Linked DNA regions of Lytechinus pictus. The protein of the gene in region 2 purifies or fractionates together with the protein of the main gene of each other region. This does not show direct contact. Links are inferred from orthologs where the notes say so. Each region holds a gene or a part of one and is shown on either strand. Other genes may lie near its edges.

Region 1 (7,323 bases), on a different chromosome or scaffold from region 2:
CTTTTTTTATGTTTATTGACTTGGAAGTTGTGAACAAAACAAATTTCCAATAAAGACGAACTTGAACTTGAATCCAAGATCAGTCTAAACCTGGGATGAAAATGGTTTAATTAAACTTGGTTTCACAGAGCTTCTTTATATGAAATCAATGTTTGCTGCAACCATGACTGCAGCTACTTTCGTTTATCTTTAATATAGACAAAGTATTACACGTACCTTTAGTTTATCAAGTAGGTCTTCCATGATGATGTAATGCTGATACATCTGGCCTGGCCCGATCTCACTGCTGTCATCTCTTCCTTTCTCTTCCCCCATCTTGATTAAGAGTCTCTTGGGATACTATATCCCTGGGTTCTTGTATGGACACTGACTTCTTACACCAGTATCCCCAGTGTCCAAAAATTGCTTATAGAGGCTGTTCAGTGTAACCTCTCAGAATCAAACTTTCAGTTAAAATTTGATGGTAATTGTAAAGAAAAAAATTTCAAAAAATTGTATGAAGATCATACAACTGGGTATCTTTCAGCTTACAAGCTGTTGTGATGCCACTTCATATGAAAAAAATGTCTGTTGATGATAATGGACGACACAGTGGATTCCTATGACATTGCTCTTCTCCCAGAGTAGGATGCTGCAACAGAAAGAGATATAATTGATAGTTAAATAATAATATTCTGCATTTATATAGCTTTTAACACATCGGAACGATGTTTCTAAGCGCTTTACAGATATATTATTACCCCGGTCATCGCATCCTTGCATGCCCGCATACAATGTATGCACCTTCTCCGCTCCTTGGGGAGCATTCCAACAAGAGTTCCCAGACTCAATTGCTAGGCATACTGCATAGTTTCATAATATATGTGCCACCAATATTCATTATCTATCTTACATGTGCGTAAACAAATTTTACCTGACACACGCAAATAAAATGCAAGGGTCAGGAGTGACAATTTGAAGAAAAAAAATTATTGAACAGAAAAATTAGTCCGAATTAGAGAATACGGATTAAGTAGCACAAGTTAGAACGGAGGAAAACTGTAGTGTTGACTCTTGACAGTTCTGTCACATCTAATCATTTCACAGAATTTTGACAGAGCCTTTATAATACTTAGCCAGCAAAATTCAGGTAAAGTCAATCTTTACATTCATATGCTATTCCACGTTTGTTAGCATACATGTACACACTTCTGACAGTCCTTTCTCGTGTTAAGTACTGGTATATCTATATATTTTGTTTTAATACCATGGATACTGTACTACCACCAGAGGAGATACTCGTGTTAAGTATCGGTATATCTATATATTTTGTTTTAATACCATGGATACTGTACTACCACCAGAGGAGATACTACGATCGATGAACAGGCACTCAACTCAAGCCTACAGCATCATGGACTTAAAGTAAAGTAATAATCAAAACAATGATTGCAGGCATTAACAGAAAGACAAGAAAAGACTAACAGTACTGTCTGGCCAAACGTCTTTCATTTTGAAGCCAACCAAGGCCCTATTTAGTATTGCATGGAAGTTACAATTGAAGTTAACTTTGCTGTCTAGTCAGTGATTTTAATTGTAACATCCACGGAATCCTTGACATTTACTGGCCATTGAGCACATGACAGCAAAAACATTTTATGAATCTCTTTTAATGAAGCAGACCCCTGCACATGTCAATGGAATGCATGTACGAAGACGAAGTGATCCATTTTTTGACCTTGACTCAGTCAATTGAAACACTGCATGAGCATGGTTTCATCTGTCTCACTGAGCTTGACTGTCTTGACTTGAGTCAGTGGACAGTGAGTGATTGATAATGAAAAACTAACATTGTAAAAAAACTCAAAATAATTTTTTTTTTTGTCTTTTTTAAAAATAGACCTAGATTCTAGGCCTAATTCTAACTGCGCGAAGCTTCAGTCTCCCTGTACGCCGCTAGCTGCGGCCAGCCGTGCCAGCAGGCGCTGCAGAGCCGCCAGAGAGGAGCGCTCACCGAACACGGCCAATATGGGAGACTGTCTCCCATGAGAGAGATTATTTCCAATATTAGAGACTTTTGTAAATTTGGGTATCCAATTTCAGAGAGTCTCCAGTTTGGGAGACCAATTTCCTTTGCTTACATTTGCTGCAAAAGGATTAGCTTGGCAGCAAATAAAAATGTGATGAGCAGATTCCTCATGAAAAATTACCCCTTTTCAACGTCTACTTTGAAAATTCACCATCTACTTTTGTTTTGATAAGGATTTTTGTTGTCATCCACACACAAAACAAATGGGCTTCTGACCTCAGTGAGGCAAAATTTTGGGTGGAAAAAAAATCTGCTTTTGTTGGTGTTGTTTCTTTTGTTCTTTTGCAAAGCAAGTCTCCAATATGGGAGATTGTCTTCCATATTGGAGAGAGTCTCCCATATTGGCCATGCGCCTCTACTGACAAGTGACAGTGCTAGCTAGTGCTAGTCACGTCCACAACAAATCATTAAATGATGACATTGACAAGAGAAAGACAGAGATGGGATGGTGTAAAACTAAAAGTGAGTTTTATTTCATTCTTTTAACAAGTCCATGTTTCAAACATGTCGCACATTCATTGTATTTAGTCGAACAATAGTTAGATCTAGTAAAACGTTAGATCTATTTGATTTTGAGTATTTCATCAACTCAATCAAGTTCTAATTCTATCTTATCAATATGATATCAAGACAAGTTTCTGAGTCTGACTAGTCTGAGAGACTCTGTCAGTCTGTGTTCGTGTATAAACCGCAACCCCCATAGATGATTCCCCGACTAAAAAAGGTGCGGTTTATATTCCGGAAAACACGGTAAGTCTAAAGTCGGTGTCTGCAGTGCAGGAACGGGTCCAAGAAGGCAAGACATAGAGCTCCTCCGTCGCCGCTTACCGGCGGAGCTCGGAGCGGCAGCTTATTTGGTTACCCGCCCGGCCGGCGGCTGCCCCTACCGGAGCGGCACTGCCACTGGCGCTGCGCTCGCTGCAACTAGTGCAGCTGCTTTGGCTTTGCATTGCAGCTCAATTCCATATTCAAATCCCTTACACTTTAGTAGAAACATACGCTGTGAAAAAGAGGCTGGTAGACTTTGAAAAAATATATACATTTAGGGTATATCTTACCTCAACAACAGTGTCTCAAAGTGTTTAATGGTACCGATATATCGAACATTTCACAAAAATAACTTCACCGCGTCCATATCGTCAGGGAAATATTTGACCTTTGACCGAAGCGCAAGCCTAGGTGGTGAAGATGCGATGATATACAGTGCAGTCGTTTTTGTTTTCACTAATAATCACACCAATTATTACTTGGGAAATATCTCACTTTTCGGGTAGAAAATGATCAAGTTATATTTTATGTTATTATTTATTGTTATTAAGTATTATGTTACACTTTCATGGTATTACAATTTGCCAGAATATAAAGTATTTGAAATAATGCACTTAAAAGTATCTGTTTTATGAGACTATACCATCACATCTTCTTCTTATGTTGGTTTGAGTGGCGATTAGTCATATTTGACTATTGTCGCCAACTATATAATCATTGAGATACTAGTAATATATACTGTGGAGTATCTCTATGATACCATCTTTCGACCTCCATGATGATACTATAATATATCTCTATATGTACCATCATGACTACCAATTAAGGCATCCGAAAAGATTGAACCAAAAGAAGAAAAACAAGGTATAGCTTGTTGGCTGTGAGCAATATGAAAGTGTGTACTGGAGACGTGATAATAACGGATATAGGGAAAGTTTATGCGTCACCCACCAAAAAGGCATTTAAAAAAACAATCAAACAAAAATATGGATTGAAAATTCATGAATTTAAATTTTTAGCTGTATTTATTTTATTAATCATTCTTTTAATGCCTCTTTGTTTCGTCTCTGTTTTCAATGTGTTTCTATCTGTTTCTAGCTGTGCCACAATCAATGACCCCCCCCCCCCCCCCCGGGCGCAGCCAAGGAAGATTACTGGCCCTGGGAAGCGGGGATGCTGCGTGTCATAGGCAGCACCCCTTTCGAATTTCGTTAGGTCTGCAAATTTTGAGAAATGTACTAAAAATGCCAATTTTTTTTTTTTTAACCTATAGCTCCCCCACCCCTTTTTTTTTTACTCGTCAAAAATTGCTCCAGCACCCCCACCCCAAAATCGTTCCCAGGGCCCTGCATTTTCCCTGGATGGAGATCATGTATTACACCCGTCATATTTTTTTTATGTGAGGGTTATTATTCAGTTTTGTCATACATTTTAGAATGAAATTCATTAATGAAATAAGAAGTGGGGGGGGGCTATACATGTATGCGTCAAAACTACCCTTTTTTGTAATCTTAATATTTTTTTTATTCGTTGTTATGTATCTCAACACATGATGGCAATATTTTTTTTGTCTCGGGTCCAAAAGAAAAAGGTGCCGGTCAAAATCCAAAATGGCCGCCAATCCACGCCCCCCCCCCCCCCCCAAAAAAAAAAAAGTCACAGACGTTTTGGCCACAACTTCTTTATTTGGTGGTCTTTTTCTGAACTGCTTTTTGTGTCTATTCGTATATGTTTAAGGGGGGAGGCAATTTGTTTTTCCCCAAAATTAGTACTTTTAAACCATTATTTGTATAGAGTTAAAATGTGATATTACCTAAATTTACAAAAAATAGCTTTTTTTCGGTTTAGAGTGAAATGGATCTAATAAAAGTAATGATAATAAACAATTAATAGAGGATAATATTCATTAGAAAAAAATATATGGTGAAAACTATACTTTTTCCATGTTATACACAATTTCAATACAACAAACTTAAGCATGAGGACTACCAGTAAGGATCTCTCATAGCATTGACGATAGGCCTACTATCTGTTTAATAAATTAATACGTTCTGTTTTACTGAATTACTGGCTTCCCAATAAGGAAACTATGGTCTATTACGCCTAAAAACCCCAGAAAAACGTTGATTCAATAGAGAAAAAAACAAGCATAACGCTGAAAATTTCATCAACATCGGATATAAAAAAGGGAATTATTACATTTTAAAATTTTGCTTATTTTTCACAAAACAGTCATAATCATGCAGAACTCAGGGACATGCAAAATGAGAGAGTCGATGATGTCCATCCCGTGTACTCCATCAATCACTATTTCTTTAGTTTTTTTATTGTTTGAATTATATGATATTTCAATTTTCACCAATTTTCCATTAAGGACCAACTTAACTGAGTCATAATGAAATGCTATATAATGAAATAATTAAAATATTCATAATTCATATAGGCCTCATTACATACAAAAGAAATACGATGAGAGAGTGATGTTATCAGTCTCCTCATTTGCATCCAAAACGGCAAGTAGGTTTGTTTTGTGAAATTAGTCGAAATTTCAAATGTCATAATTTCCTTATTTACATCCGATTTTGCTGAAATTTTCAGTGTTATGCTTGTTGGATTCTTCTATTTTTATTTAACTCAACTTTTAGTTGGGGTGGAGTTGTCCTTAACTCGTCTGAGACCATTTCATAAAATTTGATAAGATAGCAATTCTTGCTGGAATGTCAGATTTCATTAGAATCACGAAGCAGAATTTTCACTGTTGTCATGGTAGTTGACACTCACAGTAAAACACTGTTTAAGATTTCATACAACGCTGTTTGCTACATGAACCTTACAGTATCTGTTTAACCGTTTAAACATTTTAATTTATTGAAAATTAGATATTGAAAATTAAATTTTGTTGCTTAAGATTTAAACACTTGTTAAAACTGTTTAAACAATTACTGTAAGGTTCATATAGTAACCAGCGTTTTATATATTTTGTTACTGTGATACATAGGCGGATCCAGGAGGCCCGAGGGGCCCGCCCCCCCCCCCCTATTGGCGGAGCAAAGAAAAAAGAAAAAGGGAAAAGAGAGGGGAAGAAAGAAAATGAAAGAAAAAGAGGGGAGGAAAAAAAGAAGAGGAAGACCATGAAGACAAGTGAGGGAAAGACATGGAAAAAAAATCTTTCATATCATTATATGAAATTTTCGCTCGCGCTTCGCGCTCGCATTATATGTTCGATTAGATACATATCTTGCTCAATAGACTGATATGGAGCTTAAAATGTCAAGTTTTTAAGTCATTATACCAAAACAAAACAATCAACTTTGAGCGGCCGATCGGGGAAAATATGGGTGAACAAAAATTTCGCCCCCCCCCCTCTCCCTATATTGGCGAAAGCTGGATCCGCCCCTGACTCTATCAAGAGTTACTATCTTCTCAACTGTTCAAGGTCTATTATTATTATAGGGATTATGGTTTCGGTCGTTTCGGTGATATGGGCATGATATTGTTTCTGCCTCAAGAGGGCGCAAGCCGCAACACTACAAGGCCCTATAGAATCGACATTTTCTCTTTTATCCTGCATTCAAAGAAATGGAAATGCTGTTGTGCACTTGTTGTTTTTTATTATTTTTTAAAGTTTACCGAGAAACTATTTTCCCCATTAACCCATCTACCATTTTTGACAATCATATGGAGTGTTCACCGCCACTTGCCACAGGGCCCTGGGGACGATTTTTAGTGGGGGTGCTGAAGTGAATTTGACAAGCAAAAGAAAACACACAGGGTTTTCATTACGAAATGTGGGTGGTTTCGGTCCAGAGAAATGTGACAAGCAAAAAAAGAAAGAAAGAAAGAAATTAAAAGGGGTGGCTTTCCTACAAAATGCATTTTTATTACATTTCTGCCATTATAAGGTTATGCCTATCGGATTTCCAAGGGTGCTGCTCATGGAAGATAGCACACCCAGCACCCCCAAGAGTGCTTCACCACCAGCACACCCGCTTCCCAGGGCCATGACTTCCCCCCCCCCCCCCTTGTGTGACGACGTCCCTGCTTTGGTGTTTGCGGGTGGTTTCCTTTTTTCTGTCTGTCTGTCTGTCTTTCTTTCTTTTCATTAGGGTGTTTATAGCCAAAATATATAAAATAATAGGAGCAACGTTGAACAGTCACTCAATATAAACCATATAAATATATATAAATATTGGTTAATGTGGTTTTATGGAAATTTACCCACTTTTTTAAGTCATAGGCGGATCCAGGGGGCCGAGGGGCCCCTACCCCCCCCCCTTATTATGGAGCAAAAAAATATTTAAAAAAAGGGGGAAATAAAGAAAAAAAGAGGGACAAGAATGGGAAAAAAAAGGAAGAGGATGAAGACGAGTAAATAAAATAAGACTTGGAAAATAAAATACATATATCTTATGTCACTATATAAACTTTTCTCTCTTGCATTAATTATCATTAATATCTTGCTCAATATGGAGCTTTAAATATCGAGT
Region 2 (8,153 bases):
ATGTCCTTTGGTAATACATTTGTCTACATTTGCCACTCTCTTGAGGGGGATCAGGAAGAGTTCCATATGCACCCCCACTAAAATTGGAAGTAAAAATATGGAGGAAGGTTTAAAATTACTTATCTAGCCCTAATCTACATCATGTAGAACACATATGATGGGAGAGTGGAAATACATGCCAAAATATGGCTCTATTCAAAGTTTCGCGCAGGATTGAGTGCTTGTAATTTTCCACAGACATCGGTTTATCTAGTCAGTAAATGGTCTGAAAGCCTAGACTAGTCAAACTATCAGCTCATAATCGCTAAAATTCCTATTCTGGTATCAGTGCTTCTCGCCAGCATAGCGGGATGAGATCTTGACTGCAGTTACGAGGTGAGTTCGAGTCTCAACTACATTAAGTAACACTAAGAAATCAATAGAGAAATCTGAAGTGAGCGAACTGGAAGTCTTGACAATCTTTTGTTATTTTTGGTGGAGGGTGCATATGGAAATCTTTCCTAAGTACATGTATCTTCATTTGAAGCATGAAAGTTTGCAAAACAAATTGCCCATTAAAAGTTTGTTTATTTGGGTTCAACTTTTAATAATCATAAATAAGGCTTTGTATGGGTAATTTAGGGATGCCAACACTGTACAAAGATTTGCAGTATTTTGAGGGATAAAATAAGGATTTGGGGTAAAAAAGAATATAGCTTTCTCCAAGAGTATGAAATGAATTTGAGAAAAAACATTTTCCATAAAACCTGCAGTATTGTTACCTTATAAAAAATAAAATACTGCAAGAAGGTACAATATGCATCGAGGGAGCTATTAATGTGTACAGAACATACTCTTCATTTTTTTCTGGGACTGCAGCTTGTTTATTTGCCCGTTTCTCAGCTGATCCTGTGACACTGCCGCTGTGTTGACTCGGTAAGGTCACATTAATTGTTGATCGGCTTGAACTCCTGACAGGATCCATTCTGACAAAAGAACAAATAGTATAATACTTCATTTTATTGCATTATTTTCATTTACCTAGTATCCATAAAAATACATGGACAGGACACAGTCTAGAATATACTTGAACTTAATTACAAGGTAACAATTAAACAAATTGTAGATCTACATAATACTAGACAATGGACTATGGAGAACAATTGTGAACATGCATCAATTTATGACACATGCTCAAAAATGCACCCCGGCCTCCTACCCACTGGTCAATGACAATGCTGCAGCAGTACATCACCCAAATGCGAATACACAGTGCCATAATGGGCAAAAGCTAATTTCAACTGACAAAAGAAAAAAAGATATATATGATCATGTAGCAACATAATAAAAAACTTAATAAGAATAACCATATTTTCTGGGGATTTATTTTTTCACAAATTGTCTAGGGGGTGGGCTGACCATACATGCCGTTCCCGTCCCAGAGCTAAGACTAAGTTCTTCTTCTTTCTTCAGGTATACTCTCAGGTATATCGCCCAACACCCCCAAAGTAGGAGCCAAAGGGGCAGGGATGTGGATACAGCTGAGACCTGCAGGTGCAATACACCAGGTGAACACCCTGCTCTTTCACGAATAGTGTATCAGTTTTAACGTGCATTGGTTGTTGCTCTCCTAATACAAGGGACCACCATTTGCGTCCTTTAATTCCGATGGACAGAGTGTTTTACAACTGCATTCACACCTGCACTGAGCTGAATACAGTGGCGAGGCACACTTACACACAATGCTATAACATCAGATTTTTATTATACATGTTTTGGCATGAGCAGGACTCAAACCCCGACGTTGAGATCTACAATGTTATCTAAAACAGACACTCTAACTTAGGACCGAGTTACGCTGCCTCTTGAAGGAGAGCACAGAGTCAGAGACTAAAGCTTTTGTCCATCTTTCCTACTCTCTACTTACATTCCAGGTTTAGTCAAGATTTAAGTTAAGATAAAGTGTCTCCTTTCTTAAATTAATTTCATGCCCTTTTTTTTTTGGGGGGGGGGGGCCTTTCAGCATTTTAAAATGGCTATATAACTTTTTTTTAATGCATGCTCCAGGCTAAAGATATTTATATTTCAATAAATAGAGTAAAATTCACAGAGCAAAATGCCAAAAATTTGATCAAAATCAGATATATATCAAATAAAAATAACCAAGCTATTGAATTTTAAAGATTTGCATTATTCCGGTGAAACAGTTCTAGCCTCTAGGCATGTCTTCATGAATATTAATTAGTTGGGCTGATGATGTCATATCCCCACTTGTTCTTTTGTATTTTATTATATAAAATTAGGTTTATTCAAAAACTTTTCAAGCAAGAACTAAAACAATTGGAAAACAATTGACAGCTGATTAAGTGCATTAATTACATGTAGTTATTTATTGCTGCAACTTATTTCATTATATAAATGGAGACAAATCATTTTCACACGTATGAAAAAGTATGAAACAATTATGATTTCATCTAATAACATAAAAAAAAGAAATGTGGGGATGTGACATCATCAGCCCAGCTAATGAATATTCATGACGACATGCATATAACTGTTTTCACAAAATATTGCTAAACTTTAAAATTCAATAAAACTATAATATTCTAAATTATTCTAAATTCTAATTATAAATTATATCATATAAATTATTATAGGCCTAAATTCTAAATTCTAGATCTAATTATAAATTATTATTCTAAATTATAAAATTAAAACAATTCTATAACTTGTTTGTTATCCAATTTTGATAAAGCATTTTGCTCTGTGAAGTTTACTCTACAGCTGAGCGCTACAGTTGAGTATGAACGTGCCAGTCATTCCGCTGGCACGTCCGTACGCTCAGCTGTCGCCGACGGCGATCAAGCGATTGCAAAATCGAACCCTTTTCTCCATAGAAGCTGTAGTTAAGGCGTCAGTATAGCTCCACCACTACAAGCCCGTGTATTGACGGAGCGAAGGGGGTGCCGCGCGGAGCCAGATGAAGTCTCAGCAGAGCATATCCCTAAATTCAAATAGCCCTAACGTTAGCGTTAATACAGGTAAAGTTAGATCTCTAACATTAGGCCTATTTATTGGTCTACTACTTGACAATTAAAGCATAACACCCGAAATTTAGAATCTTTTGAAGTAATGTTAATGTTATTTACAAAAAGATAAGCTCAGTTTTTGTTGAACTTCAAATAGTGTTTTTTTTTTCTCCCTCAGTTTCAATCTCGCTGTCGACTCAAGATTTAAAATGGAATATGTCATGTAGTTTGTCACATTTACAGACAGCTGGCACTGGCAGCCATCTGTTTTTAGGAATTTTTAAACATTTTTTAAATTTTTTATTTCTCCTTGTACACAGAGAGAAGCCAACGGAGTTCAGCGGTGTGTGTGTATTTGAGTTTTGTCAGACGTGTATCAATCAGATACGATTATTTAAAAGTTTAAGTTTCACAAATAACATCACCATCCGAAACTCGAAAGACGTGACCAGGGCTCGAACCTCTGGCTCTGCATCAATTTGTAACTTCCCCACATAGCTTGGATTACAGGCGCATGCCACAACGCCCCAACACAAAGCTTTTATTAAAGTTAAAATTAAAGTTAAATCCCATAGGCCCTATGCCAGAACACAAATATATAAAAAAACATTCTTTCCTGATGCTATCAGAATATGGAACTCACTCCCAGCAAAGATAGTTCACAGCACCTCCCTCGCGTCTTTCAAGCAGGAGGTGCAGCAAAGGAGGCTTCGACCTTCGTTAAGGCCTCTTCTGTTTTTAGCCGCACATAGATCTATCTGTAGAGATTTTTACTCGCACTATTCATCTGGGCACTTGACAAGCACGAGCACGATAATGTGCCAACGGCAGTCTGTACTTTACAAGAAGAAGAAGAACTTTTGGTCTAGATCTAACGTTAGATCTAGTCACATTTCGATCTGTTGTAAGACCCAGTTGTTGTGTGTCCGGACGATCAATTTTAGAAAGTCATTTGGAAAATTTACAAGCGAAGTTTCATCCATTTTTAGTACAAAATGTTAGGAAATATTATTTATAAATATAAAGAACAACATAGAAGATGATTACAAGTTTTTTTTACAACTATTAAATTTATATTTTAGTGTAATCCAAAGACAAAAAAGAAGGCTTCAAAAATATAATTGTCCGGACACCCGACCCCCTACTGATACTGATACTATTACTAGTATTACTAGTGTCGATTGTAATGTCAGAAATGATATTGTCTATTGTTGATAAATGACAATTAATTGACTTGTCAAAATCAAATGATCGACTTCTTTATAAATATAAATAATGTCTGATTACCTTAATCACAGACTCGGTAACATTCCCAACTTGAGAATCTTAATAAAATTATGAGTCAAACAGACAGGAACTCGGGAAATGAAGGAAAACAACTGTATTTTTCCAGTAGATGCGGTATAAAGGTATAAAGGTATAAAGGTATAAAAACACACCGCCGCGGCCGCTGAACTGCCCTTGCCTTGATCTGTTTTCATCGGCCGGGTGTTTAGAATCGAATCGCGTGTCGCTGAAGCTCCCCGCTGCTCCACATTCAATTCCCGCTGAGTCCCTCCAATTCGGGGCGCACAACTCGACCGAATCTTGTTGATATGTCAAGCTTTGCAATGTATTAAGTTTTAGGATCATTTATATTGTTCACATTTTCATTATTGAGACAGGATAAATATAAAATAATTCTATTTAATAGAAATAAAATATTAAAATGCGTGAAATATTCGAATAATTTCCCAAAAACATTTTTTTTAATGAAATATAAAAAATATTTATTTATACTACACATGCGCAGTTAATACATTCCATTTTCTGCTTCACTTTCGCCGTTTCTTGGGACGCTGTTTAATCTTTCCCACATAGAAACGGTAAGTTTAAAAGGTCTTTCTATATATTATTCGATTTGTATTGTTTTAAAATAATATTATAAATGTAAAATGATTGAGTTTTCGTTTAAAATGATATAGTTTGCTAAATTTATATCGATTAGATTTGAAGTTTGCCAGATCCGTATCTATCCAATACAGCCTAGTACAGTCCCATTTGCTTATTTTGGTGTATGGCGTATGACTGATAACTTTGCAATTGAAAAGGCAAATAGATCTACCAAAGGCAATAAGGCAATAGATCTATTTGTAACTTGAACCCAAGCTAGATCTGAAAGAAAGAACAAATTGATTGCGAGAAGAAAAAAGGAGGAGGAAGAGTAACATTTTCTAACAAGCAGCATTGCCATAGCTTACTGCGGCAGCCCGAACACGTACTGTGTTCGGGCTGCGTTGTGATTCACCCCGGCTCACCAGATCAAATCAGATGAGCATCGGGAATCAATCAAAAATACATAAAATTGCACAAAACTGTTACAAAGGAATCAATACATACTTACAACTTAAGCCGCAATATGGGCGGCCCTCAAAACTTCGAAATAATTCCCCAAAACGAAGCAAAAACGTCGGAAAATTTTGCCGGTGTGCATTAAAACTCGTTCGTACAGGAAGCAATGGAGGATTGATATAGCCTTTTGACGAGGCAACGAGATAAATTGATTTTTATTACCAAACGGGCAAAAAACAAAAAACAAATGATAAAAGAGAAAAAATACTTTAAAAATAAAATAATAATTGAATATCAGTAAGTAAGTAATTTCAGTAAGTTCTTATTATCATCAGATCCTGCCAATACCACTCTAGGCGACACCCCAATACTTACCCGTGCTAATAAACTGGGACTCCACTCACGCGCATTTGGGCCGCCCTAGCTTAGAACTAAGCTTTGTTTTACTAAAAAATAAATCTTGTAATGATTCAATAAATGTTACTTAATAAATTAGTACTGTTAAATCGGTACTCACCGGTTCTTTTCTTGAATTTTCTGGCAATTTCTCACGCTTCTGGCTTCAATTCTGCGGCTGTTCCTGTCGCGGTAGACAGCTACATATGCAACTTTATTTATAAATAGAGCGCCCCTTATGATAGTTGTTAAGAACGCGGCCAAATTGTTAGGTTTTTTGCACTGTGTCCAAGGCGTTTTTATTTTGTTTGATTTTTTATTTTTAATAAATATTTTGTTAAATAGCGATTTTTACGTCAAATATTAAATTAATATCACAAAATATTTTTAATTGTAGAAATATATATAATATCATGCAATTATTCATTCTATATATATTTTATAATAAAATTTATAATTGTTGCGGTCTTTAAAAAAGGATAGTCGATTGATCAGGTGATGACCACACGTATCACGTGATCTGAAAATCAGCTTCATACCGCTTTGATCGCACTCGACGGTGACCGGACTGACTGCCAAAAAAAGATCGAAAAATTACTCAAATGTAAGTTTCCCTTTATTTTATTAAATTCAAATTAGGAATAGGAATATATGTAATGGGCAATCTTTTAATAAATGATAAACAAACGAGGACAAAACTCATATTTTGGGAGTAATATCATACTTGGGTGCAGGAAACAGTACGTTTAGAAGTTCTAACCTGTTTTTAACGCATTGTCGCCTATGAGGTCCATACATGTTAATGTTTGGACCTCATTGGTACTAGGAGTGGCCAATACCACTAAAGTCCATATAGATAATACAACAGAATGCCCCGACAAAAGGCTATCATTTGATGCGTCGGATAGAGATTGTTATGAATATTCATATTCATATTCATATTCATAATAGTTCCGTAAATTCTTGCTTCACACCCTTTGCCTGGCAACTATTTTAGCTTCGGCTTTTTCTTTGAAAGAAGTAACATATTTTCGTTTGAATTATTTGTTTTTCTTTCTCCTCCATTCTTTTCTTTTGTTCTGTTTTATTTTATTTTCCCCCTTTTTTATTTTTATTTTTATTTTTTCCTCTACCTTTTTTTTCTTTTTGGGGTCTGTTTTCTTTTTCTTTCTTCCCTTTTTTTAAATTCTTCTCTGTATTTGCTCTTTTTTCTTTTTTCCTTTTTTTCTTCGTCATTTTTTTTTTTTGTCTTTATTCTCTTTGTTCTTGTTTCTTCATTGTTTTCAAGAGATTATGCACATGGTATCGTACTACACGTTTTTTTATTATTATTATTATTATTGGAAACTGTATAGATATATGTAAATAAAAAAGTGAAGAAATAAATGAACACTCATATATTAAAGGAATATATTCGTTGATCAAAATTATTGAGTGATCAGCAAACCATCTCTTTAAGATTTTGGTGCCTATTTCTGGAACCCAGCCTCTGACAGGGCTTTGCTGGCTTAGCCTAGAGGACTCCGTGATGCAAAATGATTTTAAAAATATCACGGAATCCAATGCTGGCTCCCACATATTTTTTTTTCTCTCTCTCACTTGTTATATTTTCCATTTTGTTTATTTTGTATACTGTGCATGTATCCTTAGTTTTAATTTCAATTGTATGTTGTATGTTTTAATGAGAATTTAAAATAAATGAAATGAAAATATATGCAAATCTCATTATCATCCAACAACCATTTTCATACAATTGATGCCTATTAATTTGAATTATGTTTGAATGGAGATGTGATTATAATTCATATGTTTGTTTATGAATTAATATGTTATCTTTCTTGTTGGCATTTTTAAGCTTCAATAATTGGGTATATAAATCTCTGCGGGATAAGTATAAGCCTATAATTACTAAGAATTGAGTTGCTCATTATAGGACGCATAAAGTCGCCGCAAAACCTGCTTGTCTGATTGTTTTCCAGGTGTCCAAAAGGGTTTTTTCCTAAAGACATGCCATTCTTTATATTGTTTTTGCTTAAGAATTAATGAAAATCATGGTGACGCTAAATCAGCTTATATACTTCTAATACCATTGGTGGCGGAAGCCAAAAAAATCAGGGGGTCCACCTGAAATTGAAATTTTGGGAAAGACACCTGTAGGTAAACAAATTTGACAAGCAAAAAAAAAAAGTTTTTCAACCAAAAATTGAGGATATTTCGTCCCCCCAAAAAAAATCGAGAATTCCCCCCCCCCCAGAAAAAAGGTCTTCACTGTCAAATGGGAGGGGGCACAGTTCGGTTTTAAGACCATTTTTACAATACAAATTTAAATTCATTTTGTTCTCAAGGGTGGGGGCACCAGCCGGCTTTGCCACCCACCCACCCCCCCCCCCTGGATCCGGCAGTGAGTTCAATGTTTTG

The links. Proteins that work in one complex are often made in the same cells at the same time.
Region 1: the proteins of intraflagellar transport protein 80 homolog (region 2) and intraflagellar transport protein 57 homolog purify together in Homo sapiens (affinity purification with mass spectrometry; 3 studies listed by BioGRID and IntAct, counting the BioPlex papers as one, with this or other methods). This does not show direct contact. The link is inferred for Lytechinus pictus from reciprocal best matches to the Homo sapiens genes IFT80 and IFT57.

The regions. Positions count from the first base shown.
Region 1 is NC_087252.1:13,083,728-13,091,050, forward strand, and holds the start of intraflagellar transport protein 57 homolog, read right to left. Parts: upstream 3,229-7,323; 5' UTR 3,127-3,228; intron 632-3,126; 5' UTR 316-631; coding exon 217-315; intron 1-216. UniProt on the Homo sapiens protein: Required for the formation of cilia. Plays an indirect role in sonic hedgehog signaling, cilia being required for all activity of the hedgehog pathway.
Region 2 is NC_087260.1:26,520,759-26,528,911, reverse strand, and holds the start of intraflagellar transport protein 80 homolog, read left to right. Parts: upstream 1-4,785; 5' UTR 4,786-4,873; intron 4,874-8,153. Other genes in the region: uncharacterized protein CXorf58-like, read right to left, coding at 834-964.